Oryctolagus cuniculus: one gene and its partners. The main gene of each other region encodes a partner of the protein of the gene in region 2 in a complex. Links are inferred from orthologs where the notes say so. Each region holds a gene or a part of one and is shown on either strand. Other genes may lie near its edges. The genes, in order: HJV, GDF5, TWSG1, BMPR1A and RGMB.

The links.
Region 1: the proteins of GDF5 (region 2) and HJV are in contact, whole or in part, in a crystal structure (PDB 6Z3L), measured with the Homo sapiens proteins. The link is inferred for Oryctolagus cuniculus from reciprocal best matches to the Homo sapiens genes GDF5 and HJV. Residues at the interface, in NP_000548.2 of Homo sapiens: Met412, Trp414, Trp417, Phe478, Asp480, Ser481, Lys488, Tyr490, Met493; in NP_001366281.1 of Homo sapiens: Arg95, Arg98, Gly99, Leu101, His104, Ser105, His108.
Region 3: the proteins of GDF5 (region 2) and TWSG1 are in contact, whole or in part, in a crystal structure (PDB 8BWL), measured with the Homo sapiens proteins. The link is inferred for Oryctolagus cuniculus from reciprocal best matches to the Homo sapiens genes GDF5 and TWSG1. Residues at the interface, in NP_000548.2 of Homo sapiens: Glu434, Phe435, Pro436, Ser439, His440, Glu442, Asn445, Val448, Ile449, Leu452, Ser455; in NP_065699.1 of Homo sapiens: Cys26, Lys28, Cys31, Ala32, Ser33, Val35, Ser36, Leu39, Ile40, Cys44, Gln45, Cys46, Arg47, Cys73, Val74.
Region 4: the proteins of GDF5 (region 2) and BMPR1A are in contact, whole or in part, in a crystal structure (PDB 3QB4), measured with the Homo sapiens proteins. The link is inferred for Oryctolagus cuniculus from reciprocal best matches to the Homo sapiens genes GDF5 and BMPR1A. Residues at the interface, in NP_000548.2 of Homo sapiens: Arg399, Phe435, Pro436, Leu437, Ser439, His440, Glu442, Pro443, Asn445, Val448, Ile449, Leu452, Ser455, Met456, Pro458; in NP_001393490.1 of Homo sapiens: Gly65, His66, Cys67, Pro68, Ile77, Thr78, Phe83, Ile85, Glu87, Cys100, Met101, Lys102, Glu104, Gly105, Phe108, Gln109, Asp112, Ser113, Lys115, Ala116, Gln117, Arg120, Ile122.
Region 5: the proteins of GDF5 (region 2) and RGMB are in contact, whole or in part, in a crystal structure (PDB 6Z3J), measured with the Homo sapiens proteins. The link is inferred for Oryctolagus cuniculus from reciprocal best matches to the Homo sapiens genes GDF5 and RGMB. Residues at the interface, in NP_000548.2 of Homo sapiens: Leu396, Arg399, Phe435, Pro436, Leu437, Arg438, Ser439, Asn445, Val448, Ile449, Leu452, Ser455, Met456; in NP_001353437.1 of Homo sapiens: Gln57, Thr60, Phe63, Val64, Thr67, Ser68, Leu70, Asn71, Tyr88, Leu103, Val104, Ser107, Ala108, Leu110, Gly111, Ile112, Asp114, Leu115, Gln118.

Annotation. Positions count from the first base shown.
Region 1 is NC_091438.1:48,868,010-48,874,255, forward strand, and holds HJV (hemojuvelin), read left to right. Parts: upstream 1-2,150; 5' UTR 2,151-2,396; intron 2,397-3,653; 5' UTR 3,654-3,742; coding exon 3,743-3,839; intron 3,840-4,199; coding exon 4,200-4,762; intron 4,763-5,223; coding exon 5,224-5,847; 3' UTR 5,848-5,931; downstream 5,932-6,246. UniProt on the Homo sapiens protein: Acts as a bone morphogenetic protein (BMP) coreceptor. Through enhancement of BMP signaling regulates hepcidin (HAMP) expression and regulates iron homeostasis.
Region 2 is NC_091442.1:22,723,970-22,730,181, forward strand, and holds the start of GDF5 (growth/differentiation factor 5 precursor), read left to right. Parts: upstream 1-2,612; coding exon 2,613-3,240; intron 3,241-5,509; coding exon 5,510-6,212. UniProt on the Homo sapiens protein: Growth factor involved in bone and cartilage formation. During cartilage development regulates differentiation of chondrogenic tissue through two pathways.
Region 3 is NC_091441.1:66,528,775-66,534,690, reverse strand, and holds the start of TWSG1 (twisted gastrulation protein homolog 1), read right to left. Parts: upstream 3,395-5,916; 5' UTR 3,094-3,394; exon of another isoform or gene 2,850-3,093; intron 700-2,849; 5' UTR 663-699; coding exon 540-662; intron 1-539. UniProt on the Homo sapiens protein: May be involved in dorsoventral axis formation. Seems to antagonize BMP signaling by forming ternary complexes with CHRD and BMPs, thereby preventing BMPs from binding to their receptors.
Region 4 is NC_091446.1:78,228,935-78,234,402, reverse strand, and holds part of BMPR1A (bone morphogenetic protein receptor type-1A), read right to left. Parts: intron 5,067-5,468; coding exon 4,769-5,066; intron 3,782-4,768; coding exon 3,606-3,781; intron 2,722-3,605; coding exon 2,591-2,721; intron 2,511-2,590; coding exon 2,385-2,510; 3' UTR 1-2,384. UniProt on the Homo sapiens protein: On ligand binding, forms a receptor complex consisting of two type II and two type I transmembrane serine/threonine kinases.
Region 5 is NC_091445.1:21,218,232-21,224,198, forward strand, and holds the start of RGMB (repulsive guidance molecule B), read left to right. Parts: upstream 1-2,390; 5' UTR 2,391-2,909; intron 2,910-3,070; 5' UTR 3,071-3,268; intron 3,269-4,112; 5' UTR 4,113-4,165; coding exon 4,166-4,170; intron 4,171-5,967. UniProt on the Homo sapiens protein: Member of the repulsive guidance molecule (RGM) family that contributes to the patterning of the developing nervous system. Acts as a bone morphogenetic protein (BMP) coreceptor that potentiates BMP signaling. Promotes neuronal adhesion.

The DNA of each region.
Region 1 (6,246 bases), on a different chromosome or scaffold from region 2:
TCATTGCCTGGACACTTTAATTCATCAAGAGTTACAAAATGCTAGCATTCTAATTATGCTATCCTTTCTTCATTTATTTCCTGTAATACATTTATAAAGAGAAGCTTTCCCTTTATATTGAATAAAATCACTTGAATACTTTCAATGTTTTACATTTTTTTTTTCAAGATTTTACTTATTTATTTGAGAGGTGAAGTTACAGTCAGGTCGAGGGAGAGACAGAGAGGTCTTCCATCTGCTGGTTCACTTCCCAAATGGCTGCAATGGCCAGAGCTGGGCCAGCCAAAGCCAGGAGTCAGGAGCTTCTTCCGGGTCTCCAACATTGGTGCAGGGCCCTAAGCACTTGGGCTGTCCTCTGCTGCTTTCCCAGGCCATAGCAGAGAGCTGGATGGGAAGAAGAGCAGCTGGAGCATGAACTGGCGCCCATAGGCAGAGTCTTAGCCTACTATGCCACAGCACCACCCCACCCCCCATTTAGATTTTTGTAATGAAACTTCTTGTGATATGGCCTCATATGATTCAGGGAAAAACTAAATTTGTTAGATATATGATAATAGTACTTGTAGTACTTGTATATACATATACATGAATATGTGTGTGTGTATATATATATATGTATATATATATATGAAGTATACTATGGTGGGCCTCTAGATTCTGAATGTAAAGAGCATGGGTATAAGGGCCGGTGCTGTGGCATAGCAGGTAAAGCCACCACCTGCAGTGCCAGCATCCCATATGGGGGGCCGGTTCGAGTCCTGGCTGCTCCACTCCTGATCCAGCTCTCTGCTGTGGCCTGGGAAAGCAGTAGAAGATGGCCTGGAGACCCAGAGGAAGCTCCTGGCTCCTGGCTGCAGATCAGTGCAGCTCGGGCTATTGTGACCCTCTGGGGAATGAACCAGCGGATGGAAGATCTTTCTCTCTCGCTCGCTCGCTCACTCTGCCTCTCTTTGTAACTCTGCTTTTCAAATAAATAAATCAATCTTTAAAAAAAAAAAAAAAGAACATGGGTATAGATGCCGTAGTGATACTATTTGGAATCAGTCCTTGTGCTAATTTCCTTTGGCAGATGTTAAGAGGATGAATGGTTGGGAGTCTGGTCTAGTGGTTAAAATGCCCGCATTCCATACCAGAGTGCCTGGGTTTGGCACTCAGCTCTGCTCCTGGAAGCAGCAGGCGATGGCTCAGGTGACTCAGTTACTGCCGCCCACATGGGAGACCTGGATTGGGTTCCCTGCCTCAAGCCTTGGCCCCAGTCAGCGTTGTTGAGACAGTAGGAGAGTGAACTAGTGGATGACAACTCTCCATATCTCTGCCTCACAGATAAATACAAAGGCATTTACACTTTTTTTTTAAGATGGTGATCCCAGATATTCCTATGGCTGTCAAAACATGACATGGTTAAATTCCATGCTCGCGAGTCTTAGAGGCTCACAAGATTATGTTGCTCCACGAAAGCACATTTCAGGATCTCCTTTTCTCTCAGTTTATCTAATTGCTCCTCTCCTATGACCTCCATTCCTTCTCTTCCTCTTTGCCTTTGTTAGCTTCTCTCCCAGCAACTCAGGAGCTTGCATTGCTGTGTGCCCATGAGGGAGAGGGAGGAGGAACTTCTGTGCAAACGAAGGTATGGAAAACAGAGGAGGTAGGGACAGACAGCTGCAAGGATCCAAGCTGAGGAGACTGAACAAACCCTCACCCAAAACAACTCAAAGCTCAGATTTCTTCTCTGGACAGCTGGCTTTGCCAGTCCTCCTGGAACACTCCGCAAAGGTGGGGGCGGGGCTGTGACCCACCTCCGCTATGGCTCTTCCTTAGTCAGAGACCTTCCAGATACTCTATGTGGAAACTACATGTAATGTTCAAAAGAGCACGGATGAGGGAAGTAAGTGAGAGGTATCCGATTGCACACCACAATACTTAAAGGTCAAGAGCTCATTGCTGAGAACGCCAAAGGGCTGCCTGGAGTAGACAGCGACCATAGAGTGACCTGAGAAGCACTGGATATGTGACTTTGCTGTCATATTTCTCCCACTCTCCCCACTTGGCACCCAATACTTCATATTCTCTCTAATCTTTCTACCCTCCCCACTCCCACACCCTACCCCCACCAATGTTCCTGGAATTTTGGACTTAGCTATTTTTAAAACAGTCAACTCAGTAGCCACCTCCCTCCCCCGCTCAGCTGTCCAATGCTCCCGCCAGCCACATACTCCCCTTTTCCCCACACCAAGCCTTCCCTGGCTTCCTGACCTCAGGGAGATTGCAGCCGACCTGGGGAGCTGGGGGAGACATGGAGAAAGAGACGGGGGACCCCCTGGCTGGAGCAGACTGACAGAGTAGGCAGCCATGGCTGGAGAATTGGATATCAGAGTAATGTTTGACCTCTGGAAACAGTAAGTTAAAACGCAATTGCAATTCCTTTCATAAGCTCTTGGATTGAAGTTAGACTTTTATGAAATTACAGACACTGCCTTGGATGTCTCTGGTCCAAAAGCTAGGATCTCTCTATACCAAGGTGCTCCAATCTCCATTTCTTTCAGTCTCACTTCTTTCTAGCATCTAACCTCTGGCCATTTGAAGTTTAATCCTCTGTCTGTGTCTGGCAGTCTTTGCCTTGTTACCCCAGGACTTGTAATGCAGTCTTTGGAGGAGTTGCCCACCCCCCTATTCTGTAGTTTTCTCATTGTGGCCAAATTTGACCTAGATGATTAGTCACTGACATGCCTGCACCCTGTCCCTACTTAGCAATGCCCTTCACATTGGACTTCCAAGGGTGGAAGCTATCCCTTGTCTTATATATGACGTCTGCCCACAACTCTGCTCCCTCCAACCTACTCTTTTCCCAAATCGTTTCATTAGTCCAAAAGAGAGAAGTTTGGTACGAGAGAGCTGGCCCTTCCCTAACCCCTGTCCTCAGCAAAAGACTGAGAACTTCAAATTTGCAAAGGGGAGATTAGTGAAAAGAGTGGTTCTTCAGTTAGGTTTGGGAAAATAGCAACTGTTGACTCAGAAAAAGCAAACATTGATTGGCATGCCTGGTTTTGCATCCTGTTATTCTAAGACAGGGGGATTAGGACTGCAGCTCCCCTGAGTGGATGAGAGATTGATTCTGTTCTCATTGGAATACAGAGGTTCTAGAAGGCAAGGGTATCCTCCCTGTGCTCCTTCTTGTCTTTCTGACACCAAAGGGGAAAAGAAATGGACGACTCCCGGAGGGCGGCCCCTTCTAGTGGGGAGAGACGCTTCAGGGGCGTGTTGCTACAGGATTTCTAGAACCGAAATCTGCAGGGGAACACCCCTCCACCCCCAGCCCCACCCCGGGGGAGCTGAGAACTGATCTGCCTCCACAAGTCCTCCATTTTTGACAGAGCTGCTGTTTGGTAGTGCTAGATGGGGCAATATGTGGACTCTGCCCCCTTGAGGTCACTCAACCTTCCCTCCACCCCCACCTGGGGGTATTGCACAAGGGACCTGGAAGTGACCATAGGAGCAGAGCTCATCTGCCACACTTATAGTTTGGGGAGCCCCATTCTCTCCAAAACCCGACTGCTCATCCTTTCCTTGATCTCCCCAGATTCTCTTCACAGCATCCTGACCAATCCTCAACTCTTCTCTTTCTCCATGCCCAGCCAAATTTCTCTTTTTTTCAGTCACTTACAGGACAGCCGGTCAAAATTCACTAGGTAGGAGGGCCATCAGCTGGGAAGAATCGGGGCTGGGGGCACCTGGCTGTATAGGTATGGGGGATCCAGGCCAGTTCCGTAGTCCCCGGCCCCACCACGGCAGTCCCCCAACTCTAAGCACTCTCACTCTTCTGCTGCTCCTCTGTGGACATGGTAAGGAACGGCCAGGGAAGGGCTTGGGAGACCCCAGGGGTGGGCCTGTGAGCCTGTGTGCCTGAGGCAGAACGGCTGCGGGCAGTACCAGGCACCCGCCCTACTCTCAGGGACATTTCATGTCCCACTGGACTTGGGGAAGGGCCCTGGGAAGAGCTTGGTGGACAGAGGAGACCATGTGGGCTCACACACTTTAATAAGACTGAGGGAGGACAGGACCAGGGGGCGGAGGGGGAGAGCAGGGGCTTGGCTAGGTTTTAGGAACGACTGGAATCTCCTGATGAGATTTGGAAGTTAGGAGGAGACTCTTCGAGCAGGGATGTGGGAACCGCCTCACAATCTGCTCCCTTCCGTCCTCAGCTCATTCGCAATGCAAGATCCTCCGCTGCAATGCTGAGTATGTATCGTCCACCCTGAGCCTTAGAAGTGGGGGTTCGCCAGGAGGGCTTCGAGGGGGCGGCGGCAGCGGCGGCCGAGCAGGAGGAGCCGGCTCCGGCGGCCTCTGTCGGGCGCTGCGCTCCTACGCGCTCTGCACTCGGCGCACGGCCCGCACCTGCCGCGGAGATCTTGCCTTCCACTCCGCCGTGCACGGCATCGAGGATCTCATGATTCAGCATAACTGCTCCCGCCAGGGCCCTACGGCTCCTCCCCCGCCCCGCGGCCCTGCCCTTCCAGGAGCAGGTCCTGGCCCCCCAACCCCAGACCCCTGCGACTACGAAGGCCAGTTTTCGCGGCTGCACGGTCGTCCCCCGGGCTTCTTGCACTGCGCCTCCTTCGGGGACCCCCACGTGCGCAGCTTCCACCACCACTTTCACACGTGCCGTGTCCAAGGAGCTTGGCCCCTGCTGGATAACGACTTCCTCTTTGTCCAGGCCACCAGCTCCCCCGTGGCAACGGGGGCCAACGCCACCACCACCCGGAAGGTCAGGGTCTCAATTTTCCTCCAGGGGTCTTCATGAGATTTTCTAAGGGTTCCCCCACCCATCCCACCGCCTCCCCAGCCCCATCATCCCACAGCAGTGCTCCCAATCCCCACTCTCACATCCCCGGTCCCTCCCTCCTACCAAGCGCTTTTTCCTGTGAATCGGTTTCCTTCCATGGGAATGTCCCTCAAATGCTGAAACCGCTAAGGAGAAAATTGGGGCAAGAGGAGCTGAGGCGCTTCAGAAGTCTCCTTGGGAGACTGGGACCAACAAGTAGAGAGAGGGGCTGAGGGGGAAGGAAGCAGTATTGGAGCACAGGTAGGAGAAGGGATCCAGGACTGAGGGCCGTGAGAAGCCTTGTCTCCCAGCTTGGATGGGAGCCCTGACTTTGTGCATGCAGGTGGCCTGATGGGAGGGTGCGTTGAGCCCCAAATGAACCATTCTCTGTCTTGCTCACACAGCTCACCATCATATTTAAGAACATGCAGGAGTGCATCGATCAGAAGGTCTACCAGGCCGAGGTGGACAATCTTCCCGCAGCCTTTGAAGATGGTTCTATCAATGGAGGCGACCGACCTGGGGGCTCAAGTCTGTCCATTCAGACTGCTAACCCTGGGAGCCACGTGGAGATCCGAGCCGCCTATATCGGCACAACTATAATCATTCGGCAGACAGCTGGGCAGCTCTCCTTTTCGATCAAGGTAGCAGAGGATGTGGCCAGGGCCTTCTCGGCTGAGCAGGACCTGCAGCTCTGCGTTGGGGGGTGCCCGCCAAGTCAGCGGCTCTCCCGCTCAGAGCGCAGTCGCCGGGGAGCTATCACCATAGACACTGCCAGACAGCTGTGCAAGGAGGGGCTTCCGGTTGAAGATGCTTACTTCCATTCCTGTGTCTTTGATGTGTTAATCTCTGGTGACCCCAACTTCACTGCAGCAGCTCAGGCAGCTCTGGAAGATGCGCGCGCCTTCCTCCCGGACTTAGAAAAGCTGCACCTCTTCCCCTCAGATGTTGGGGTCCCTCTCTCCACAGCCACCTTCCTTGCCTCACTCCTTTCCGGACTCTCTGTTCTGTGGCTTTGCATCCAATAAGTACGCAGCAGCTCCGTGACTGGTTTGGAAATTATTGGGGGATAGAGGTTGGCATGAAAGAAAATAAAGAATTGCTAGAGGAAACAGTGGGGACTGCAGACATATTCAGCGATGTCTCTATCCAGGGTCAGATGTGGCTGCCGTCCTGGGTTGAAATGAGCACAGAATGAAGATCTAGACCAGGTCTCTGCATTGCAGACCTGTGCAGGGGCTCTTCATCACATTTCCCAACCCCATTGTATAGCAGGCAGATTGTTCCGATCCAGCTGCTCCTGACATTGCCCCTGCAAATGAGGAGGCATCAGGGTCCTGATGATCAGGGCAGAACTTAGGGATTGAGATTTTTCTAGAGGCAAGAACTGAAAAAGGAAGACATGGCCATGACCCATAAGAAACCCC
Region 2 (6,212 bases):
TCATTTCCGAGCTCCCGGTACGTGCATAGCAGAACCAGGATTCAAAACCAGGTCTGTTTGTCACCAGAGCCCTCTCTTTGTGAAGCCAGGTATTAAGACGTCTTGGTTGTTCTAGTCATTCATCCCTTCATTTATCCACTTGTTGGAACTTACAAAATGCCCATGGTGTGGCAAGACAGACTCCTTCCCTTTAAGTAAACCAGTGCCCAGCAGGGAAGGTACAATATGTCCACAAGTTACTACCTTCTAAAGTAGAGAGTGATGGCTTTTGTATAAAAGGGCCAGTTAGAGATTCATTCACTGGTACAACATATACTGAAAATCTGCTCTGTGCTGGGCCCCATGCCAAGCACTGGGAATAATTGAAATATAAATATGGTACAGTCTAGTCATAATCAAATGGGGGAGACATATAAATAAATTATTATAGTTACAAGGAATTAAGTTATGATAAAAATATGAGAAACATACCCGGAGTAGAAGAAATGACCAGTGTTGGAGATGGGGGTGGGAGCAGAGGCTGGATGAATGGAAAGGTGGCAGTTCGGAAGGAGTGTTCCTTTACTGGAGCATGAGGGCAGGCTTCATGGAGGAGGCACCACGTGAGTTGGCACTTGTTCAAAGGGTAGGTAGAGGGAGGGATGACCTAGGAGATCCTGCGGGTCTGGAAGCCACTTACGAAGGAGTTACGAGTTTGGACGGAGAATAGGGACAGTGATGGGGACATGGAGGGTGGAGGGGCGGGGAGATGTGTGCCAGAGAGGCCTGGGTAAGGGACTGAAGCCAAGCCAAGTGACTGGAAGAGAGGTGGCTGCCCTCCGTCGAGCTCCCCAGAGAGAGCCTCCGAGGTGGGGAGGGGAGCTCTATTGTCTTTTCTGACCTCAGAGCCCCAGATGCAGCTCGGATGGCCAAAGTGTGCTGTTGTGCTCTGAAGATCAGTGAGGGCCCAGGGTCCACCAGGCGAGGACCGCTGGGTGCCGGCACACCCCTGCAGACATCACAGAGCTTCTGAGACCTCAGAGTCTCTTAGATTAAGAAGGATGCCATGGAACTCCTGGCCAGTGTTGTTGCAGTGAGGTGGACACGAGGGAGTGATTGGCTCTGTCTGGAGATCGAGAAAGGCTTCCTGGAGGAGGTGAGATGTCAGCTAGACTTGTCAGGATGAGGAGGGCTTCCTTCATTGTGGGAGAGGAGGACATTCTAGGTGAAGGGAACAACTCTTACCCCACGATTCTGGGGCGAGTTGCCCATGGCCTCTAAGGGACAGGCTCCCGAGCGAAGGGGGCTTCCTGGCTTCCAGGAGGCACTTTAAGAAACCCCAAGTCCAGCTGGAATTGGGACTTGTAGAGCTACCAGAAACGCATGGAGGAAGCCGCTTTTCCAGCCTCCTGCAGGGGTCGCTGCTGCCCCAGGCTGGGGCCGTAGCCTCTGGACTCAGCCCTCCTGCTCGAAGGGAACTCTGAGGAGGTTGGGGGCTGCCGGGACCTGTCTCCGTCCACACAGCGGGCTCCGGGGTGCCAGTGCCCCCAAGCCTGAAGAACTCACCTGCGCTCCGTCAGTGGCATTCGGCGGGGAGTGCAGCGGGCACCAAGATCTTTCTCTCTCTCTCTGGGTCACCTCAAGTTTATTCAAATAAAAGAAACTGTAGGTAAATGCTGCCATCTGTGCTACCTCCCGCCAACACACACACACATACACACACACACACACACACAGAACAAATCAGGCCCAGGACTACACGCAGGGGTTGAAACCGCCTTAAAAACATGGCAAGGACTTACTGAAAACCCACACTGCCCGTGTTTCTGGGGCTTAAGATCTTCGAGCTCATTCCCGGGCATGCCTCTGCAGGCAGGTGGGGTGGGCTGCTCCGTGAAGTGCACATGAGGACCCCTGAGTCTGCTGGGCCGACCGGGAGCCCCCTAAGCCGCAAGTCCCGCTGTGGGGCTCTGTGCCAAGAGCCCCCGTGAGCCAGGGCCTGCAAAGGGCAGCCGTGACTTTTTTCACATAAATATATCGTACTTAAATGAGTTTAGACAGCATGACATCAGAGAGTAATTAAATTGGTTTGGGTTGGAATTCCGTTTCCAATTCCTGAGTTCAGGTTTGTAAAAGATTTTTCTGAGCACCTGCAGGCCTCTGTGTATGTGTGTGTGTATGTGTGTGTGTGTGTGTGTGTGAAGTATTTTCACTGGAAAGGATTCAAAACCAGGGGGGGAGGAAAAAAAAACTGGAGCACACAGGCAGCATTACGCCATTCTTCCTTCTTGGAAAAATCCCTCAGTCTTATACAAGCCTCCTTCAAGCCCTCAGTCAGTTGTGCAGGAGAAAGGGGGCGGTCGGCTTTCTCCTTTCAAGAACGAGTTATTTTCAGCTGCTGACTGGAGACGGTGCACGTCTGGATCCGCAAGCATTTCCACGATGGGACTGGACACAAACACACGCCCGGCAGACTTCAGGAGTCTCAGACTGAGAGCGCCGTCCCTGCTGCCGCTACTGCCGCCGCCGCTGCCTTTGAAAGTCCACTCCTTTCATGGTTTTTCCTGCCAAGCCAGAGGCTCCTTCGCTGCTGCCGCCGTTCTCTTTGGTGTCATCCAGCGGCTGGCCAGAGGATGAGACTCCCCACACTCCTCACTCTCTTGCTTTGGCACCTGGCTTGGCTGGACCTGGAATTCGTCTGCTCTGTGTTGGGTGCCCCTGACTTGGGCCAGAGACCCCCGGGGCCCAGGCCAGTGTTGGCCAAAGCGGAGGCCAAGGAGAGGCCCGCGGTGGCCCGGAGCATCTTCAGGCCCGGGGGTCACAGCTATGGTGGGGGGGCCACCAATGCCAGGGCCAAGGGAGGCACCGGGCAGACGGGAGGCCTGACCCAGCCCAAGAAGGATGAACCCAAAAAGCTGCTGCCCCCCAGAACGGGTGGCCCTGAACCCAAGCCAGGACACCCTCCCCAGACCAGGCAGACTGCAGCACGAACTGTGACCCCAAAAGGACAGCTTCCCGGGGGGAAGGCACCCCCAAAGGCAGGATCTGTCCCCAGCTCCTTCCTGCTGAAGAAGGCCAGGGAGCCCGGGCCCCCTCGAGAGCCCAAGGAACCGTTCCGCCCGCCCCCCATCACACCCCACGAGTACATGCTCTCGCTGTACAGGACGCTGTCCGATGCTGACAGAAAGGGAGGCAACAGCAGCGTGAAGTTGGAGGCTGGCCTGGCCAACACCATCACCAGCTTTATTGACAAAGGGCAAGGTGAGGGGGTGGGGTGGCAGGGGTGCGACTCAGAGGGAGGGGCAGCTGCATGCATGGCGGGGTGGGAGAGGGGGCCTTGCACGGGCTGCACTGGGGCAGGACGGTGTGTGCACCTGGCCTGGGATGGGGTGCCTGACTTCTTTCTCTCTTACACACACACACACACACACACACACACACACACACACACACCAGGTCCAGGCTGCTGGCAGGTCATTGCTGGAAGGCGACTAGTGATCGCCAGATCCACTTCCTGCAAGGTGCAGAGAGGCGCACTGGAGCCGGGAGAGGGGACGGAGCTGCCCGTGAGGGGCAGATCGGAGACCAGACTCCGAGAGTCTTGACTACCAGGCCGTGCTCTGCGTCTGGGGGGGCTGGCCAGATTTTGCAGGCTCCTGGAGTTTGTAGATTTTCTCACTGGGTGGAGAGAGAGCTGAGTCTCCCGGTCGCCGAGGCTCTGCAGCTTTGCTCTTGGGCTGAGGGCAGAGGAAGCCGGGGCATCTTGCAGTCGTGGAAGGATGTCTGGAGACGTGGGGAGACTGCAGACCCAGGGTCTAACTCGCAATGTGACCCTGAGAAAAAGGCCCTTCTCACGGCAGGCTCTGTTCTCCCACGTGCACAGCCGTTTGGGCGGTGGGCTGTGTGATTTCTGAGTGCCCCTCAAAAACTGAAAACCTGATGTCCTGTCCTAACCACAGATCATTTTCATCCTGAACCTGGGGGAACACCTGCTCCCCTCACTTCTCCCTCTGCCCACCTCGTGTCACTGTTGCAGCTCTTCTTCTAACTCGCTGTGTGAGCTCAGCAAGTCTCCCTCTCCGGGCTGGCTGCAGCGTCTCCCTAGTGTGAGAAGGGGGGGTGGGCCGCTGATCGCTCGGGTTGCTTGCAGCTCCTGGGCTCTGGTTCAGAGTTTGAGGGGCTTTGGCTGGCAGGGTGGGGGAGGGGACAGAGATTGGGAGAGGTTCCTCATTAGAGCTGGCCTGTAGGGGAAGCACAGGGGTGGGGGTGCGGGTGGCGGGGGTGAGGCACAGAGGCAGCAGGTCTGGCTGAGGTGGGGGGAGGTGGCCTGGCTGCCTGCCCAGCCAGGGAAAGCTGTGACCCCTTGGGGAATCATAAAATCAGTCCTTGTGCCCCCCAGCACTAACGGGGCTTCGGGAGGGGGAGATGGGGAGTTTAAAGGCCTAATTAGTCACCTAGAGCAATATATGAATGTTCCCCAATGGCAAATTGGTATTTAGGAAGAAGGGTATGCCGATTCAGAGATACTACTAGCTTCGCACACACAGTTTGGATTTATACATGCATGCGGAATCACACACACACACATACACTCACATACCTCTTTATACACACAATTCTCACATGTAAGTATACATGTAAGAACTGACCTTTCAGATAGTCACACAAGCCCAATGCAACACACTTGTAACATGTCACTCACACACCCGAGGGTGCGTCTAAAAGTTTTTAAAAATGGAATCGAAAGACATATATTTTTGGTGCAAACATTTTGAAACTCATGCGTACTCAGCCATGATCTTTCCTATTCAGAATAAACCCAGTCACACACACATACAAACCGTCACACACTCACACATGCCGCAGAGCAAGACATATCCACAAAAGCCTGGCAAGCTGAGTTATCCACAGCTTTGTCGGTAACTCTGTGTGACCTTAGTCAAGTCGCCCCGCATGCCTGTCCCTCATCTACAAAGCGAGAACACCCAGATCTCCTCCAGGAGAGTGTGAAAGCAGCTCAGATCGGGGATCAAAAGCTTCCGGCTAGCGTTCCAACCCTGGCTGGGTTTTCTCAAGCAAGCACCTAACTTCTCAGAGCCGTAGGTTCCTCCGGAAAAACAAAGGTGATTTTAATGTCTGCTCTGCCAGTCTGATAACTGAGCTATCCTGTTGCATGATGGATAGGAGAGGGAGAGAGGCAGAAGGCAGCTCCAAGGCTGGCGGATCGTTGACACATGTAGATCATTGGCACAAACCACCCCCAAATCACTCAAGGCAACCGCAGCTACATTTGCAGACGAACACCAGACCTTGGTTGCCTGTGGGAAGCTCCCTCCTTTTGAAAACGGTTGTCAGTGCTCTGGGTCTTGGCCTCTGTTGGAGTGGGGAAGAGGTTAAAGAGAGCTCTCTCGTAGGGGGGAGAGAGAGAGAGCGAGTGAGTGAGCGAGCTGGGGTGCTCCCGTGGGGCCTCGAGGTGACTGGCTCCCCGAGGTGGGGGATGCAGGCAATGACTTCTGGGTGTTCTCTCTAGATGACCGAGGGCCTGTGGTCAGGAAGCAGAGGTACGTGTTTGACATTAGTGCCCTGGAGAAGGACGGGCTGCTGGGGGCTGAGCTGCGGATCTTGCGGAAGAGGCCCTCAGACACAGCCAAGCCAGTGGCCCCCGGCAGCGGGCGGGCTGCCCAGCTGAAGCTGTCCAGCTGCCCCAGCGGTCGGCAGCCGGCAGCCTTGCTGGATGTGCGCTCCGTGCCAGGCCTGGACGGCTCTGGCTGGGAGGTGTTCGACATCTGGAAGCTCTTCCGAAACTTTAAGAACTCGGCCCAGCTATGCCTGGAGCTGGAGGCCTGGGAACGGGGCCGGGCCGTGGACCTCCGTGGCCTGGGCTTTGATCGGACTGCCCGGCAGGTCCATGAGAAGGCTCTGTTCCTAGTGTTCGGCCGCACCAAGAAACGGGACCTGTTCTTTAATGAGATCAAGGCCCGCTCCGGCCAGGATGATAAGACCGTGTATGAGTACCTCTTCAGCCAGCGTCGGAAACGGCGGGCACCCCTGGCCACTCGCCAGGGCAAGCGACCCAGCAAGAACCTCAAGGCCCGCTGCAGTCGGAAGGCACTGCATGTCAACTTCAAGGACATGGGCTGGGACGACTGGATCATCGCACCCCTTGAGTATGAGGCCTTCCACTGTGAGGGGCTGTGCGAGTTCCCCTTGCGCTCCCACCTGGAGCCCACGAA
Region 3 (5,916 bases), on a different chromosome or scaffold from region 2:
CTCTAATCCCAACCACCAACATGCCTGCAATCTTGTGAGATTGAGCCAGAACCCCCCAGCTAAATGGCTCCCTGATTCTGGACTCTCGGACACTGTGAGATAATAAATGTTTACTGTATTAAGGTGCCATGTTGTGGAGTAATCAGTTACACAGAAATAGATAACTAATATGTTAAATGCAGGGTACAATCTATTATTTGACCAACTTTTTTCTTAATATAGTCATTGAGCCTCATTGCTATGTAAATTAGGTGATACAAGGGAATGCTTTAATTCATTTGAATACAGTGGTTATCATCTTGTATGTAAAACAGAATATGAATATGATACTCACTGAACTCCTTGAATCTCAGCTTGCTTATATGCAAGAGAATATAAAAATACAGACCAGTGTGCCATGGTCTAGTACCTGAGGCTCTGACCTATACTTGGGCCTTAGACCCTGATACACACATACCAATAATTCTACACACATACACATGCCCATTTCATATCTGCTGTCAATACAGTTAACACTAAGAACACACTCATCATCCCACCTGGATGAGGCACTTGCTCACGTCGCTGGCACAGAGTGCTTTGTTGCAGCTCAGTGACACCGGGAGCCACATCAGGAACATCAGCCCCGCCAGGGTAAGCGTGATGACACAGGGCAACTTCATGATTCCTCAAAGAAGATAATCAGTAACTCCCAGGAAGCTAAGCAAACAAAAAGAAAAAAAAAAAAACACTTTATTTCAAAGGCAAGTGCTAGAGGAAAGACAAATACAAAAATGAACATCAAAACATAAACCAAGACTCATTGTTTATGTCAAAAGACTTTTGAGTGATCATTTTAAAAGCATTGTCAATGAAAGATTAAACATTCAAAATATAAGCTATAATTTTATACAGTACTGTTTTGATAGCCACCTTCAAAGACCTGGAATACTATGTCTCTCAGAAATGGTGACTGTTGGGGCTGGCGCTTATGGCATAGCGGGTAAAGCCACCGCCTGCAGTGCTGGCATCTCATATGGGCACCAGTTCGATTCTTGACTGCTCCACTTCTGATCTAGCTCTCTGCTATGGCCTGGGAAAGCAGAAGAAGATGGTCCAAGTGCTTGGGCCCCTGCACCCGCATGGAAGACCTGGAAGAAGCTCCTAGCTCCTGACTTCAGATGGGCGCAGCTCCGGCTGTTGCAGTCAGTTGGGGAGTGAACCAACGGAAGGAAGACCCTCTCTCTCTCTCTCTGCCCTCCTTTTCTCTGTGTAACTCTGACTTTCAAATAAATATGTAAATCTTAAGAAAAAAAAAGAAAGAAAAAAAAAGGTGACTGTGGAAGTTAAATTGAATATACCTAAGCTCTCAACAGCCTGAGAGTTGTATCAAGAGAATAACCTGTTTCAATAGTACATTGCTACAATTCAACATTAAAACAACATAAAAACTATTAATACTGTATTACAATTTAAAACACTTAAAATTTTTTAAATTCTTTTTTTAAAGATTTATTTATTTATTTGAAAGGCAGAGTTAGAGAGAGAGAGAGAGAGAGAGAGAAGGAGAGACAGAAAGAGATCTTTCATCGGCTGGTTCATTCCCAAATGGCTGGGCCAGGCCAAAGCCAGAAACAAGGAGCTCCTTCCAGGTCTCCCATGTGGGTGCAGGGGCACAAGGACTTGAGCCATCCTCTGCTGCTTTCCCAGGTGCATTAGCAGGGAGCTGGATTGGAAGTAGAGCAGCCAGGACTGGAACCAGTGTCTATATGGGATGCTGGCACTGCAGGTCACAGGTTTAACCCACTACGCCACAGCACCAGCCCCAATTTTTTAAATTCCTACAATCAAAACAAATTGAATTATTTATAGCTATCTCATTTTATCTCTCACCATATTTAGCAAGAATAAAGAAAAGTGTGTGCAGTCATTCCTTAAATAATTGAACCAGTAACAAAGGGGACAGTAAATTATTAATGGCATTAAGAACTCTGAGTAATTTATTAAAATGTAAAGATATTGTTTGCATTCTATTAGATACAGATTCTTTGAAATCATAAGATAAATCAGTTAAAAATCACAAAGGAGGCGGGTAAGGCCAGCACAAAGTCTAACAAGGGTTAAACAGGCAACAGGCTATTAAACTTTAAAAAAAAGTTTTTTCTTGGGATAAAAAAACATGCCCCCAAAACATTATCAAACAAAATAAATCGCTACTGGATGTAACAGGGATAGAAGGTTGGCTTATGGCGTCTTTACGATTCTTCTCAACTTTTGCAAGTATTGCAAAGTACACTAAAGAACAGGTAACCAGGAGTGAAAAGCATAAAGGGCTGCGTAGCCAGCATGAGTCAGTTTTTAAAGAGAAAGCCCTGGCGCTATTACCCAGGCCCTCAAGCACTGCCCTGAGGACCGCTAGTACACCCACCTCCTAACTCAACCCCACAAACAGCCCCGGATGCTTTCTGCAGCCCCCAGCACGTATTCAGAGAAAGCCTCTGAGGCTGGCTGTCCCGAGCTAGTTCTCCTGCAGCCACGGCAGACGCGACCCCATGCCGCTTCCCCCATCTTGCGTGGCTGTCTTCGGCAGCCCTGGACAAGTTCACCAGGAAAGGAGCATTCGAGGGACTAAGAGCGAAGCCCAAACCAGGTAACAGTTAGGTCAAGGGCTCCTGGGTTTCCTAAGGAGGCAGGAACAACAACGCATCAAAGAGGTTTTTCACGCATCCAGCCTCAGACTGGCGACCTGCGGTACTGACAGCGATCGCGGCCCAGCAGGACCTGGCCTAGGGTCCGGCCGTCCCAGAGCCCCCAGCGCGAGGGAGCAGGAGGCCGACGGTGGCCCGGGACTGGGACTCCTAGCCCCTTACCCATTCGGCCGCTGCGGGCTGCGGAGGATGAGGGCCAGGCCCAGGGCCTCACGCGCCGGCCTGCACCGAGGGCGTCGCAGGGATGCTGCTGGTTCGGCCTGGAGCCGCCCGCCGACGCACCTTCTCAGACCCCCCGAGAACCCCGGGCCCAGGCCGCGGCCCTCCGTCCAGAGAGGCCCGAGTTCGGCGCCCGGCCCTCCGCGGCCGGGAAGACTGCACCCCCCACCGGCCCGCTCCCGCTCACCGTGCGCCGAGAGGCCGCCTGCCCTTCGTTTCCCGGCGGGTCGGCCGAGCCCGGAGCGCGCCGCAGCGGCTGTAAGAGCGAGGCCAGGCCGCGCCTCCCGCCGTCCCTTCTGCGCAGAGCCCGCAAGCCTCGGCCACCTGAGAAAAGGCCCGCCTGCAGTCCTCCTCCCTGATACCCTCGGCTCTCGCTGGGGCTGGCAACCGCCAGCTCCCGCCAGGAGGCGTCTCTTATACCCTGGGCGCCCAGGTCAGCGCGCACGCTCCCCGCCCACAGACCACGCCCCGCCGCCGTGGCCACGCCCGCGCTAAAACCACGCCCACCCGCAGCCCCGGCAGCCGCCCGCCCGCAAAGCCACTCCCTCACCGTGACCCCAGCCCCGAACACCCCAACACCCCTCTCACACAAACACACGCTCACGCTCACCCGCAGGCCACTCCCCTGGGCGCACCCGCCCGGGCCCCTCAGAGCCGCGTCGCGCAGGCTGGCCGGCCGCGCGCGCTTTCCTTTGCCGGCTCTTCCTTGCTTCGGTCACCTGCGTCGGGCTCCAGCAGACCCTCCTGTCACACCCATCTCTGGCTCCCCTCTGCTGCACAGCGTTAGGAACAAACACGTGGGCAAGTGCCGGTCGCCGGGCTGAGGGTGCGCTGTGCCTCGCAGCGGCCCCGGCAGGCGAGCGATTCCCGGACGCGGAGCTGAGGCACAGCGCGATGGAGCGGCCCAGCCCGCCCCGGAATGGAACAGACACTTGAACCCTCGCTGCTTTTCGTCAGGTTTCTGGGATCCACCTCAGATCGACGAAGGACCGCCAAGGGCAGCGCCTGCCGAGGGCCCTCAGCTGTTTCTTGAAGCGTGCGAAGCCCGGGGTGTGCGCAACATTGGGAACTCAGCGAAGGTCGGGGGCGTGCACCGCCAAGGCACCGGGCAGCGCCTCCCCGCACGCCTGCGTACCTGTCAAATAAAAAAAAGAAGAAGAAGAAAAACGAAAAGAGGGGTTCATCCCACCAAGAGTTAGCATGCGGGTCAAGGAAATCGAGGATTGCACTCGATGTTTTCCCATGTGGGAATCTGCTTTTTAAAAATATATTTATTTGAGAGGCAGAGATAGGGAGAGAGACAGCGAGCGCCCATCTCGTGAGTCACCCCTTGTGGGTGAAGCGGGGAACTTCATCCAGGTCTCCTACGTTGTAGTTAGGGACCCAAGTACTTAAGCCATCACCGCTGCTTCCCAAGGTGCAAATTGGACCGGGGGGAGGGGGTGCGGGGGGCGCTGCTGGAGTCAGAAGCAAGTGCAGGAATCCAACCCAGGTACTCCCAGGTTATCCGGTATGGGATGGCCAGCGTGTTAACAGCTAGGACAAGCACCTGCCCCAGAATTTACTTTTTATATTTTATTTCTATTTTTTTTTTTATTTGTTACTTGAAAGGGTTGAGGTAGGAGGAGACCAGTCTTCCATCCACTTGTTCACTACCCAAATGCTTGCAACATCCAAGTCTGGGAGAGGCAGGAAGCCAGGAACCTGGAACTCCATCTGGGTCTCCCACTTGGGTGGCAGGGTTACTCAAACACTTGAGCCATCAGCACCACCTCCCTCTGCATGCAGGAAGCTGGAGTCAGGAGCTATTGAATTCATGCACTCCTCTGTGGTTTGTTGGTGTCTTAACAAGGGTGCCAAATGCCTGCCCCAAGAATTTGCTTTGTAAACAGGATTCAAGCATGATTAAGTTGGAGCCCAAAAGCCTAGAGGAGCCATAGGCCCTTTCTCCTTGGAAAAAATGACCTAGTGTCAAACCCTTGCACTACTGAGTCTTTTCTTTTTTTCCAAAGATTTTATTTATTTACTTGAAAGGCAGAGTTACAGAGAGGCAGAGAGAGAGAGAGGTCTTCCATCCACTGGTTCACTCCCCAATAGCCGCAACCACGGAGCTGAGCTGATCTGAAGCCAGGAACCAGGAGCTTCTTCTGGGTCTCCCACGTGGGTGTAGGGGCCCAAGGACTTGAACTTCCTTCTACTGCTTTCCCAGACCATTAGCAGAGGAGCAGCCAGGACATGAACCAGCGCCCATATGGGATGGCAGCACCACAGGCAGAGGCTTGGCCCACTACACCACAGTGCACACAGCGCCAGCCCCTACTAAGAGGTTTCAACATCTTTCTACTGCCCTTTATTGACTGGAAGGAAACAGAAAGAATGGAAATAGTGGAATGGAGAGGGGTGGGCCTCACTGTTGAGGTTAGTTCATTTTCGTACAATAAGAAGTACAGATTTTCAAAATCGTCCCTGCAGTGGACGTTTGGCACAGTGGTTAAGGTGCCACTTGGGATGCCCGCATTCCTTACCCAAATGCCTGAGTAAAGTCCTAGCTCCTTCACTTCCGATCCAGCTTCCTGCTATCATGCACGCTGGCAGGCAGCGGCAATGGCTAAGATAGTGGGGTCCCTGCCAACAATGTGGGAAACCCAGACTGAGTTTTCTGCTTCCAGCTTCAGCCAGGCCCAGCCCTAGCCACTGTGGACATTTGGGCAGAAACCGATGAATTGAAGCTGTCTCTCTCCAGCTCTCTGCTTATCAATATAAAAGAAGCAAATAAAAGATCCCCAATGTGAGAACTTGGGGTCAACTCCCCCACCCCTAGGAATGGTACATCAAACCTTATCAGACCCCTCATATGGGAATTACTGATCTCATATGTCATTGATATTCAGTGACATTTGATATCTGCTGTGGTGGCCAAACCAGTGTCTTCTGAGAAGCACTTGTGTAAACGTACACTTCAAACTTTCACTAGGTGGGGCCGGTGCTGTGGCGCAACGGGTTAAAGCCC
Region 4 (5,468 bases), on a different chromosome or scaffold from region 2:
GAAGCGGGTCTCGGTGAGCCTTTAATCCCAGACTCGCCGCCGCATAAGAGAACTCACTCCCGCTGTTCATATCCAGGTCCTTTAGGCTTTTGCTTTTCTGTTTATGATATTTAAAAGGTATGGCTGGCTGAAGCCAGACATTTATGAATGCTGAATTCTAAACTTTCAGGGTCTCATCAATTATCAACAGTGGTACCACACACACAGGGCTTCCCCTTACTGGCTGACAGAGTAATTGCTTCACTTAGTAGCTAAACTTCAAATTTAAGAGTAAGAGTGAGAAGGAGAGCAGAAAATGGTTAAGTTTCATGCAACTTTTTTTTTTTTTTTAGATTTCAGGATTCCAAATCTGGCAGCATTTGCTTTTTAAAGAAGATCGTATCCTAGGAAATGTTTTTGTTGAACAAGTTTTTTCGGGTTAATTCTCAGTATCACTGTCACCAGTCCACACTAATCAAAAACATTATCATTGTGACCTCATACACTGCAATTTTTTGCTTCACATACCATTTTAGCATTTCTAAGAATGAAATTTGCCTTTCGGTATAAATTTCCTATACTAAGATGACCAAAATTTTTAGTTTATCAAGTCATACACAAACCAAGGTTAACCAAGGTTAACCAGGGCTCAAAAACGTCACGTGGCAATCTCGATGAAAATATATTTCTGGATATATAGATGGGGAAACATTCTGAAAAGGCAAAAAGGCAAGTTATTTGGTACTGCCAATATGCAAATTTACTTATCTTAATAAACACTTCCGATTTTGATTATGTGAGATGCAACTTACTAAACAATCCAGACGGATAAGGCAAGCTTCAAATTTGTGTAGACACCCACATGTGCGTTTTAGCTTCCAACGACACGGAAGGACACGTGCTGTGATTTGCCCGCGTTTACTTTAAGCCTTTCTGACCGTGTGTGATATCCCCGCGTGGATGCTATGTCGATCTCACGGGATGCACCCATGAGCTGTGTGTTCTGAGCAGGAGGTGGCTATCTGGAGGTGTTACGCGGTAGCAAGCTGCAGGACCTGCACCGTTCCTGGAGGCGGGAAAGCATCTAGGAAACTGGCACCACTTTACTGAGTGACAGGCGCACTGCGTGCTCACGGGTGCTGACCAGGTGCTGAGCCTCTCCCGACTCTCCAGTGTCTGCACACGGCAGGGCGCAGAAACCGCAAACCATCTGGTTGTCTACAACACGCTTAATTAACAGCTGCGCATGGATTTCCATCAGCTCTGAGACAACATTTCTAATCAAGAGACTCCTCTCATAAAGGAACATTGCAATCTTAGTGGACACATTTTTGCCCAGGGCTGACAGGGCCCGGCATGGGGAGCCCTGCCGTGGCCGCGATCATTCTGAACACTCCCCCATAGTCCCGCTCTCCCCAGTGTCTCCCCTGGGGGGTGGGCTGAGGGCCCCGTGAGCTGGCTGCTAATACACGGACACATGTGACCCCCGCAGGCTGTCAGGGAGCAGGGGTTTTGCAAGTAAAGCACATTATACACAAAATATAAATAACTTCCCTTTTAAAAGTCACTGAGAACGAGGAACACAGAAGGCAGTCAGCGGCACTGGCACTGCGGGCCAACGCACAGCAGGTGCTTTCCAGGTGACGCAGCTTATGGCACTGGAGGCTCCAGCTCTGGGGAGGGTGCTCTTCCCAACAAAATACCCCCCCCAAAAAAAAGGGTGGTGGCAGGAAAACAGTCCAGATTCATGGGCACTTTAGACTTCTTTTGGCCTTGACACTGACTTTGACATTAAGAAGAAACACGGGTAGGGGAGCTCTCCAGCCCGCAAGGCTTTTAAAGAAGGGGACTCTCGGTCAGAAATTGCATTTTTAAAGCACAAACCAGCAGCCACCAGCACCTTCCTGTGCACTCGTCCGTCATTGTCTTCCAGCTCCCAGGGCAGCCGAGGGCGGCTGGCGGGTGACGGAGGCAGGCCAGGCGCCCCCTCGGGGCCACTCTGCAAAGGCAAGCGGAGCGCACAGATGGAACGTCCTCGGGTAGAAGGCAAGCGTGTGCTTCTCCACCTCTGCTGAACTCTATCTTCCGGAGGCTTTCACAGAAAGCACCACCTGCTGACCAGGCAGCTCAGCACCCAGAGTCTGACTGGAGCCCTACTCATCAGGACTGAAGTCTATGCAGTTCATAGAAACCCAATAAAAAAAGGCATCAAATACCACATTTAAAACACAGCTGTTCGTATAGAAACCAAGTGTCTACGAGTTCCCGGCTTCTAGGATACGGGAGGGTCTGACGCTAGCAGCCTGGGAAGGTGCAGTGAGGGCGGGCGTGAGCCAGGTTCGAGTCCTCCTCCCATGCTGGCCCCGGCGAGCCCAGGGGCAGGGGCGGCGCCTGCAGCGCGTAGCTCAGATCTTTACATCCTGCGACTCCACCATCTTGGCCAGCGTCTTCTTGATCCGCAGCGCCGTGAGTCTGGAGGCTGGATTGTGGGCCCAGCACTCTGACATCAGCTTCAGCACGGCCCGCAGGCACTGGAAGCAAAGAAGAAATGGTGAGCAGAGAGGGCGGTGGGCGCCAAAGCCCGCCCCCTCTGCGGGGAGCCGGCACTCACCTCGTCGCTGTTCCAGCGGTTGGACACAATCGGCCGCAGCCGCTTGACGCACACGACCTCGCGCATGTCCTCGTAGGATGGGTCGCTGGGCACCATGTTGTAGTACGGCAGCTGGTACTCTTCCACGATCCCTGCAGGCAGAGGGACACCGTGGCCACACTGCGCAGCCAACCTGCAGAGCTACAGGGCCACACAGCTCCTACCCAAGGAAGACAGCTAGGGCCTGGGGGTCCACTTCGAACGGTGAGTGCACGGGCTTCTCTTATTCATGCCCATTATTTCCTCCCCTCCAGCCAGCACCCCAGAACTGTGACAGCCCATCAGGAAACGCCAGTATTCCGTGGGTGGGGGGCAAGGCGAACCCTTGCACTTACTCTACACCATACACAGGACCACCGACTAGCAGGCTGTTCCTACCAATGAAATGCGTGTCTAGCCCTCTGGCTGACTTTGTCCCACAGTGGAGAGACATGAGCTGCAGACCAGAGTTCAGACAACAGCAGGCCTGACGCCGGGCTTCTCACTGAAGCCTGCTTGCAAGGCCGCCCTGGGCTGGTGCCTAGGAGCCTGCAGGCAAGACGACGCCCTGCGTGCACACAGAACTCTCCCTGTGGTAAAGGCACGGCTGCTCCTGGACGGTACGCACTCGACACCTGCTTTCCCTCTGGGAGCCGGGGGTTTGGGAGTGGCCAGGAGGAGGATGCCCACACCACCAGCTTTGCTGTGAGTGCCCTGTGTGACAGTGCATGACAGACGTCATCACGGTCCACAGTGGGAGGGGCTCGGCATCCTGACTCTGCCCCCGGCCCTTTCCTTGTCCGAGTTAGACTTGTGGCTCTCACCGTACATCTCAGCCGTGAGAATGACTACGTGCCGAGTCCTAGAGCCATCACGGCATCTGGGGGGCGCTCCTGGGGACTCTGACAGACGTGACATCTAAATTACCCCACAGCAGCTGCTGTTTCTTCAACGATGGGCAAACCAGTAGGACCAGGCAGGCCGCCCCACCGCCTACCTCCCGTGACGCAGCGGCGGGCCATCTCCCAGATGATGAGGCCGAAGCTGTAGATGTCCGCCATGATGTAGGGCTGGAAGTGGTTTTTGTTCAGGCTCTCGTCCAGCACCTCGGGAGCCATGTAGCGCTTGGTGCCCACCCTGGTGTTCAGGGGCACATCCACTTCATTCGTGTCACTGAAACAAGATGGTATCCAGGGTGAGTGCCACCAACGAAGAGCCTAGCTTGTGTTTTCACGACATTTTACACCAGTGTCTCCCCCTTTCTCTCTCTCATATCCTAAAAGCTTTGTAACTCTGATGTTTAAACAGCTGGCACCATCCAGCAGTCGTGGAGAAAGGGCGTCTTTCTCTGCTCTGTTCACAGGAGGGGTAGCTGACGCCTGCTTTGTGAGGGGACAACAGGCCACAGGTCGGAATTTCACATACTCCTTCTCCAGGAATCCATTGGGAACAAATACTTGTACAAGTGCTCAAGGCCATATTGTATTCTATGGATAAAACATAGTAATGTTCGCTAAAACTTTTTTAATAACAGGGATAAACTGAAGGTAACAGTAACATCCAACAGTTGGGTCACGGAAAACTACATCTGTTAAGTAGCAGCAGGGGGTCAGTGCTGTGGCACAGCAGGTTAAAGACCTGGCCTGTAGCACCAGCATCCCATATGGGTGCCAGCTGCTCCACTTCTGATCCAGCTCTCTGCTATGGCCTGGGAGAACAGTGGAAGATGGCCCAAGTCCTTGGGCCCCTGCACCCATGTGGGAGACCCAGAGGAAGCTCCTAGCTCCTGGCTTCAAACAGGCTCAGTTCCAGCCACTGCAGCCATTTGGGGGGTGAACCAGCTGATGGAAGATCTCTCTCTCTCTCTCTAATAAATAAAATAAATCTTAAAATTAAAAAAAAAGAATGAGGCAGATCTACACAAACACCCTTCTGAAAAGGAAGGACATGTAAGACAAAAAGCAGGAAATCAAGAATTATGTAAAGTAGTATGTAATTACTAACAAGAAAACCCCATAAAACTCCAACTATATGCATATATGACCTAACGAAGGGTCCCTACGTGTTTTCAGAGTTGCAATGTCCTCAGGACAAACAGGTACAGAAACACCCTTTGGAGGTGACAACACTTTCAACATGGTTGGGCAAAGACCCCCGCACCTGTTGAATTTAACAGCAAGGCCCAGGTCAGCAATACAACAGCTCCCGTTTTTCTTGATGAGGATGTTTTTGCTCTTCAGGTCTCGATGGGCAATGGCAGGCTTCCCTTGGGTGCCATAAATTTCTGTGTGCAAGTGGCACAGACCACAGGCAGCCGAGTAAGCCAACTTGAGCAGAGCTCTGGTGTCCAGGGTGGCACATTTCAGGAAGTCATAGAGGGACCCGTTCTCATGGTAGTCGGTGATCAGGTAGAGTTGAGTCCAGGAGCCTGTGCCTTTAATGTCCGCTGCTATGAAACCTGTCCAGTGAACCAGGTGAAAGGTTAGCTGTCGTCAGAGATGGCTAGGAAGGGAATGACCGCACACTCGGGCTATGAGCACCATTTAGGTACCACATACAGGTAACAAGATGTAGCCTGCCTGCCAAGACCTCCTGGATATGCTACCAAATTCCTGTAGCTGCTCTTTGTACATGTGCAGCTATGCCGCGGCAATCAGTTTAAAACAATCTTAATAAACATCAAAGTGACAATAATATGACTAAGAGTAAATCACACGTTAAACAATGACCTGGGGAATGTTATCAACATGTCAGCATACAAGGGTCTCTGGCAGAAGGAGCTCTCAAGTTCAAGTCGAAAAGTGGGCACCCTAACAAAGTCAAAAACGTTTACCTGAGGGAGCTCCTCCCCTCGATATGT
Region 5 (5,967 bases), on a different chromosome or scaffold from region 2:
GCTCACTAGGCTAATCCTCCGCCTTGCGGCGCCAGCATACCAGGTTCTAGTTCCGGTCGGGGCGCCGGATTCTGTCCTGGTTGCCCCTCTTCCAGGCCAGCTCTCTGCTGTGGCCAGGGAGTGCAGTGGAGGATGGCCCAAGTCCTTGGGCTCTGCACCCCATGGGAGACCAGGAGAAGTACCTGGCTCCTGCCATCGGATCAGCACAGTGCGCCGGCCGCAGCGCACTGGCCACGGCAGCCATTGGAGGGTGAACCAATGGCAAAAGAAGACCTTTCTTTCTCTCTCTCTCACTGTCCACTCTGCCTGTCAAAAAAAAAAAAAAAAAAAAAGACATTTTTAAAAAAAAAAAGTGCAAGTAGGTCTTAGATCCTTTGTGTTTCTACCCAATTTATACATTGATCTTATGAAGTAAAAAAAAAAGTTTTATGAACTTTAATAAGATTTGACTAAGTAAAATATTTTTTTTACAAAACCACATTTAGAAAGTGGCATTCTCTCCTAGTATTATGTTATAAAATTCTTTTCCTTACCACTTTTATTATTAGTACAACTAATATTTATAATAGTGTAATTTATTAACAATAATCCTCAAACAGTATAAGCAAATAAAGGAATTATTAAGGGGGCTATCAATTTCAACAACACATGCAAGGAAAGCAAAACAAGGACTAGAAAACAGATCCACATGTTTCCTGGTAACTGAGATGAGGCCCACAGTTTGCACAAATAAAAACTTAGAAAAAGTAAGCCAGCTATACTCTCAGCAGCTGGGAGGTCGGATTATCCACTAGCTGAGCTTCGTAAAAGCTCAAGTTCTGTCGTCTTTGCATGGATACTCGGAAAATGGTGCAAGTACATATTGTATTAGCAGTTTCCTTACAGTCAACAGAGAAATGCTAAGTATACTTCACTGAAAAATGACTTTTTGCCTCTCTTACAGTCCCATTTTTGGCTTACCTTGATTGGTGTGAGAGAAAAAAAGAAAAATCAAAACAACATGATGGGGGAAAATTGTAGAGCACTGAGCAAGATAAAGGATTTGAGAATAAAAACAAGCCAGGTCTTTTTACTTGAACCTTACTGGAACATCTGAGGTGTAATTAGAAATATAAATGTTTTGGCATACATGAATGGGACAATGGGAATGTTGAGGTTGATACAAATGAAGGTAACTGTGATACAGTTAGTAACCATGAATTGTATTCTTGAAAATCAGAGAATGGTTATTAAGTATCCTCACTAAATTTGGGACATAACGCTTACCTTAATCCCTGCCATATAGTCATGCCACAACATATACATATTTCAGTCACATCATGCACAATATATATGATTTTTGTCAACTACATTTTTAAGGAAAAGCAATTACACAAGCTCACAATATTTTCCCACCAATATCACTAAATGCAACTTTTTAAAAGAGTGCCTTGCTTCGAAAATGAAAAAAAAATCCTGAAATTCTGCTGTTGAAATTAAGCAAGGCATTTGTAGTTTAAAAATTAGTACTTCTATTATGAAAGTTCATCCTTTTACGCCTTTGTTGCAGAGAAGATTCCACAGGAAACAAAAGTGCAGGTCAAAATTCCTATGTGGGCTCTGAACTGAAACCCCTGAGAGACATCATGAGATAAAGGAGAAATGCAATGTGTGGTGTGATGAATGCATTCACACAGTGATTGACAAGTTAGCATCCAGGTTCCACTGGCCAAAATCACATGGAGATGGATGGGGCAGAAGAGGTTCTGACGGCTTGCGCCCATCGTCCAAAGCTAGCAGAGCCGGGAAGTGGTGGATGACTGGGGCTGCATTAGAAACATCGGCTGGGCTGGCTCCCTGGGCTGACTTTGAACTCTTGTTCATCATTATTTTATGCTGCACTCCACTTTGTATTGGTGGAAGGGAAAAGAAAAACACAGGAGACTAGCTTTTAGCTTCTAAATCAAAGCTCTGCTTTGCTGATTGCCGGAGTGGCTTTTCAAAGGCAAAGCAAGTGGGGGCATTAGAATTCCTTGTTTCTCTAGACCAAGAACTGAAGTACCGTTATTTTTTTTAATTCTCAGTAGCAAAAAAAGAACATATTTCAATGTATCTTACATTTACCTTGAAGCAGCCTCTGTGGTGGTTCCTTTTTTCTTTTTCAATTTGATTGGCACTTGCAGAAGATAAAGCAAGGTGGGAAAACATTTAACAGGGAGCCTGCAGAAGGGCGCGAGGAGGCGTGCATTGTCACGGAATCTCAGAACCGGGAGGAGCTGTGCCCCTTGCACACCCTGACTCAATCCCTCACGCAGGTGCCTCGGGAGTCAGGACGGCCCCTCCCTCGGCCGCCCTCGTGGACTGCCCGATGCTGCCCCCAGCGGCAGCCCGGTGAAGTGCGAGGAGGCCGCGGGGCGCGGAGCGGGCGCAGGGAAGCTGCGGGAGGGTCCCGCAGTCCCCTCCGAAGGGAGCCGCTCGCTGGCCCCACGCAGCGGCCCTGGAAATTCGGCCCCGGCCAGGAGAGCAACGGCTTTGTTTCCCCGCGCCGCGCCGCGCCGCGCCGCGCCGTCCGCGCGGCGACTGTGGTCCCCGGAGCATTCCCCGGGGCTGGCTCCAACTCCCAGCGCTTCCTCCTCTCCTTGTTCCCACAGCTTGGCCCCGGGCTCGCTCGTTTATTTATGTTTGGTTATTTAAGAGGCTGAAAGACAGAGACGGCCGGGCGGCCAGGCAGGCGGATCTCGCATCTGCTGCCTCGCTCCCGCACGCGCCCGCACCCAGGAACTCGCTCCGCGTCTCCCGCGCGCTGGCGCAGGCACCCAGCCACCTGCTAGCTCAGGTCCACGCCGGGGCCGGCCTCGGGGACCCGAACCCGCCCCCTGCCCCCATTCGGAGACCCTCGTGGGGAGAGACAGCGCGGCGGGGAAGGCGAGGTCTCGACTCAGCACCCGGCGTGGCGCGGGCCGGGCCGTGGCGGCGGGGGTCCTGCGCGCGCCGGCGCCGTCGGGGGTCGCGCCGGCAGGGGGCGGTGCGGCGCGGGGCGCGCTTCCGAGGAGGGGGCGGCAGGCATTTGGCTCCTCGCCCTCTCCCCTAGGTGGCAGAGCGGGCGCAGCCCCCGGCCCCCGGAGCTCGCCCCGAGTCGCCTCGCCTGGCGAGCGCCCCCCACCCCGAGGCGGAGCCTCCCCGCCGGCGCCCCGGGCCCCGCGACCCCCCACCCGCGCCCGGGCCGCGTGGCTTGCGGCTTATTTTCCCAGCTGGCGGGCGTCGCGCTGCAGACAAGGGAATGCCTGTGGTGAGTTGTTTATTTTGTCGGAGTTTGCGGTGGGCCGGGGGGCCCGCGGGGGGCGGGCGGCGGGCAGCGGCCGGCACTGCTTGGCGTTAGCTCTCCGTCCACCTGTGTGGTATAAATCAACCAGCCCCGGGGTGGCGGGGGCCGGCGCGGGAAGAAGCCCCCTGTCCCCCCTCGCGGACCCGGGGTACCACGTTGGCCTCTCCGTCTTGCTCGCGGGCGCGCCCAAGGGCAGGCGGCGCCCGGGGCCGGTGGACAGCCTGCCTGGGACCTCCACCCCTGGGGCCGGACCCCGTGCCAAGCCAAGGGGGACGGGGGTGCGGTGGGGTGGGGGTATCGGCTCGAAGGGCTGCCGCGACATTCGTGGGCACTTGCTCTGGCGGCTTCTCTGGGGCGTTGGGTACCGCGAAGTGGGGATCCTGGGGGAGCCCCCCACCCAGGGGGCTGCTGGCCGTCGTGGCCGCGGCTTTGCTGCCCTTGCCTGGAAGGGGGAAAAAAAAAACCTAACTACATTAGCGAGCTGGTAAAGCTTTTAAGGCCTTCTTGGGAGTGAGTGGCTGGCTAATGAGAGGTTAATTTTGTTTCGAAGGCAAGGCTGCGCTGGTTTCCTGAGATAAATGGACAGGAAGCGCATTACCTCCGCGCGCTGGCAAGCGGCTCCCAAATGCTTTTTGCACCTGCCGCTTCGGGCGGTGCGGCCCGCGGGGACCGCGGGGTGCGCGCGGGGGGCGGGCTGCGCGCCTCGCTCGGCGCGGGAGCCCGGCACCACCACCCGCACCCCCGCACACACCTGCCTCGGGGGGCGCCGTGCTCACGCCGCGCTCGGGGGCTCTCCTCTCACCCCCAGGTCCTGCGTGTTCCGGAGCTCGCGGGCCCCCTGCAGCAGCGGAGGGGTTAAGCATGACGTAAGTACGAGCCTGGAGCCCTGGGGGCCCGGGCCGCCTGTGCCCCAGCCCGCAGCCGGGGAGCCCTCCCAGGCGGGTCGCGAGCCGGGCCCCCAGCCCCTTAAGTCCCTGCTAAGCAGGCAGAGGTGGACGGTTTGTTAACTCGGGCTGGGGGAAACCGGCGAAGGCGGCAGGTGCAGGTGCAGGCTCAGGAAGCGGCGCCGCATCGCGCGCGTGGAGTGCACGCCCTGGCCGCGGTCGGCTTTGCCGGGGTCCCCAGAAAGTGCGGTTCTGGTCTCGCCCTCAGACCCAGTACAAGTGGCGAGGAACCGGGGGGGAGACTTGCGAGTTGCACGACTCCTTGGAGTTTTGCAGGTTTTTTTTTTTTTTTCTGATTAAAATAGCAAACTTGCTGAAAGTCGTCGATGGCGTGTGCGGTGCGGGCCTGGCCCACGGCTGCTCCTCCGTGGGGTACAGGCCGCCCCCCTTCCCCGGCACGGACCCGCGAGGCCGTGGGCGGACCCAGCGTCTTGAAGACGGGGGACCACCTTGCGGTTTCGTTGTGAAAATTAGCATTTTTCTTCTAGCGGCTGAACGCTTGTGCGGCAATAAAAAGTGGATTGTTAGGCTTATAAATCTTGAGCTTGTCAGATTTTACAACAGAGGAGCAATAAAGCGCCTCGCAGCGGCCCGGGGCCCCAACGCCGGGCTCCGCCGCGCCTCCGGGGCGCCCTCTGCCGGCCGGAGACTCGGGGCGCGGCGGGGAGCCCCGGCTCGACCTGAACCCCGGAGCCACCGCCTCTCGGCCAGGTGTCCTGAAGTGTGGCCAACAAAATGGGGTGCTCCCGCCGTAGGGCTCATGAAGAGGAACTGAAAAACATATATATATATATTTACTGTCAAGGCTTTGCTAACAAAGCACTTGCAGACACACAGCGTCCTGTTCGACCATGCTTTTAAAGGACATATAGCTGCATGTCACAGAGTTGATTGTAGATAGGAATTGAGAGAGAGGGTACCTTTTTTTTTTTTTTTTTGGCTCTAATCGTTTTGGGTGCGCGGCCTTATCTAACGATTTCAGGGGCTCCCTCCCTCCGCGCCCCTATCAAAAAGCCATTTCTGCAAGGCAACTCCGGAGCTATCATTAGGAACATGAAGCATGTGCAGAAGGCTCGGCTAGTGAAAGGTGTGTTTGCCGCCTGAGTCATGCCGCTGTGTCATAGCGATGAAAAAGTTAGAGGAGGAACGGTCTACTCCACTAGGGACCTAGAGGCTCGAGCAGCGCGCAGGCCGGTGGGGTGGACGGCTGCCACCACCGCCCCCAGCCCCCATCACCCCGCTCCACCGCCGGATAGCTCCGGCGAGCTAGCAACGCGTCCGCGGTGCACAGGAAATGTCTAACCGGAGATCCTGAGCTACGTGGCGGGCAGGGCTGCCAGCTGCGGCCCGGGACCCGGCGGCGGCGGCGCCCGGGAGCACTACCCACCCGCGGACGGCGGCGGGCTGCGACCCTCGTCGGGCCCCTGGAGGCCCCTCTCCTAGCGCGAGCGGCCGGGGTGGGCGGTTTGTTTTCTCCACCTCAACCCCCCAACCCCGCCATTGCGCTCCTGGGCTCACGGACGGGAGGCGTGAGAAGCCAGCGAGCAGCGCCCGCTCGTCGCGGCGCGATCCCGCTGCCTGAAAACGCACCCCGCGTTCCTCTCACCGCCCCGGGACCCAGCCCGTGGAGGGTCGCCCCCTCTCAGACCCCCACCACCACCGCAGCCTCCTCGCCTCAGGAACACCCCGGGCCGCAACACCCGTTCTCCCGGCTTTCGC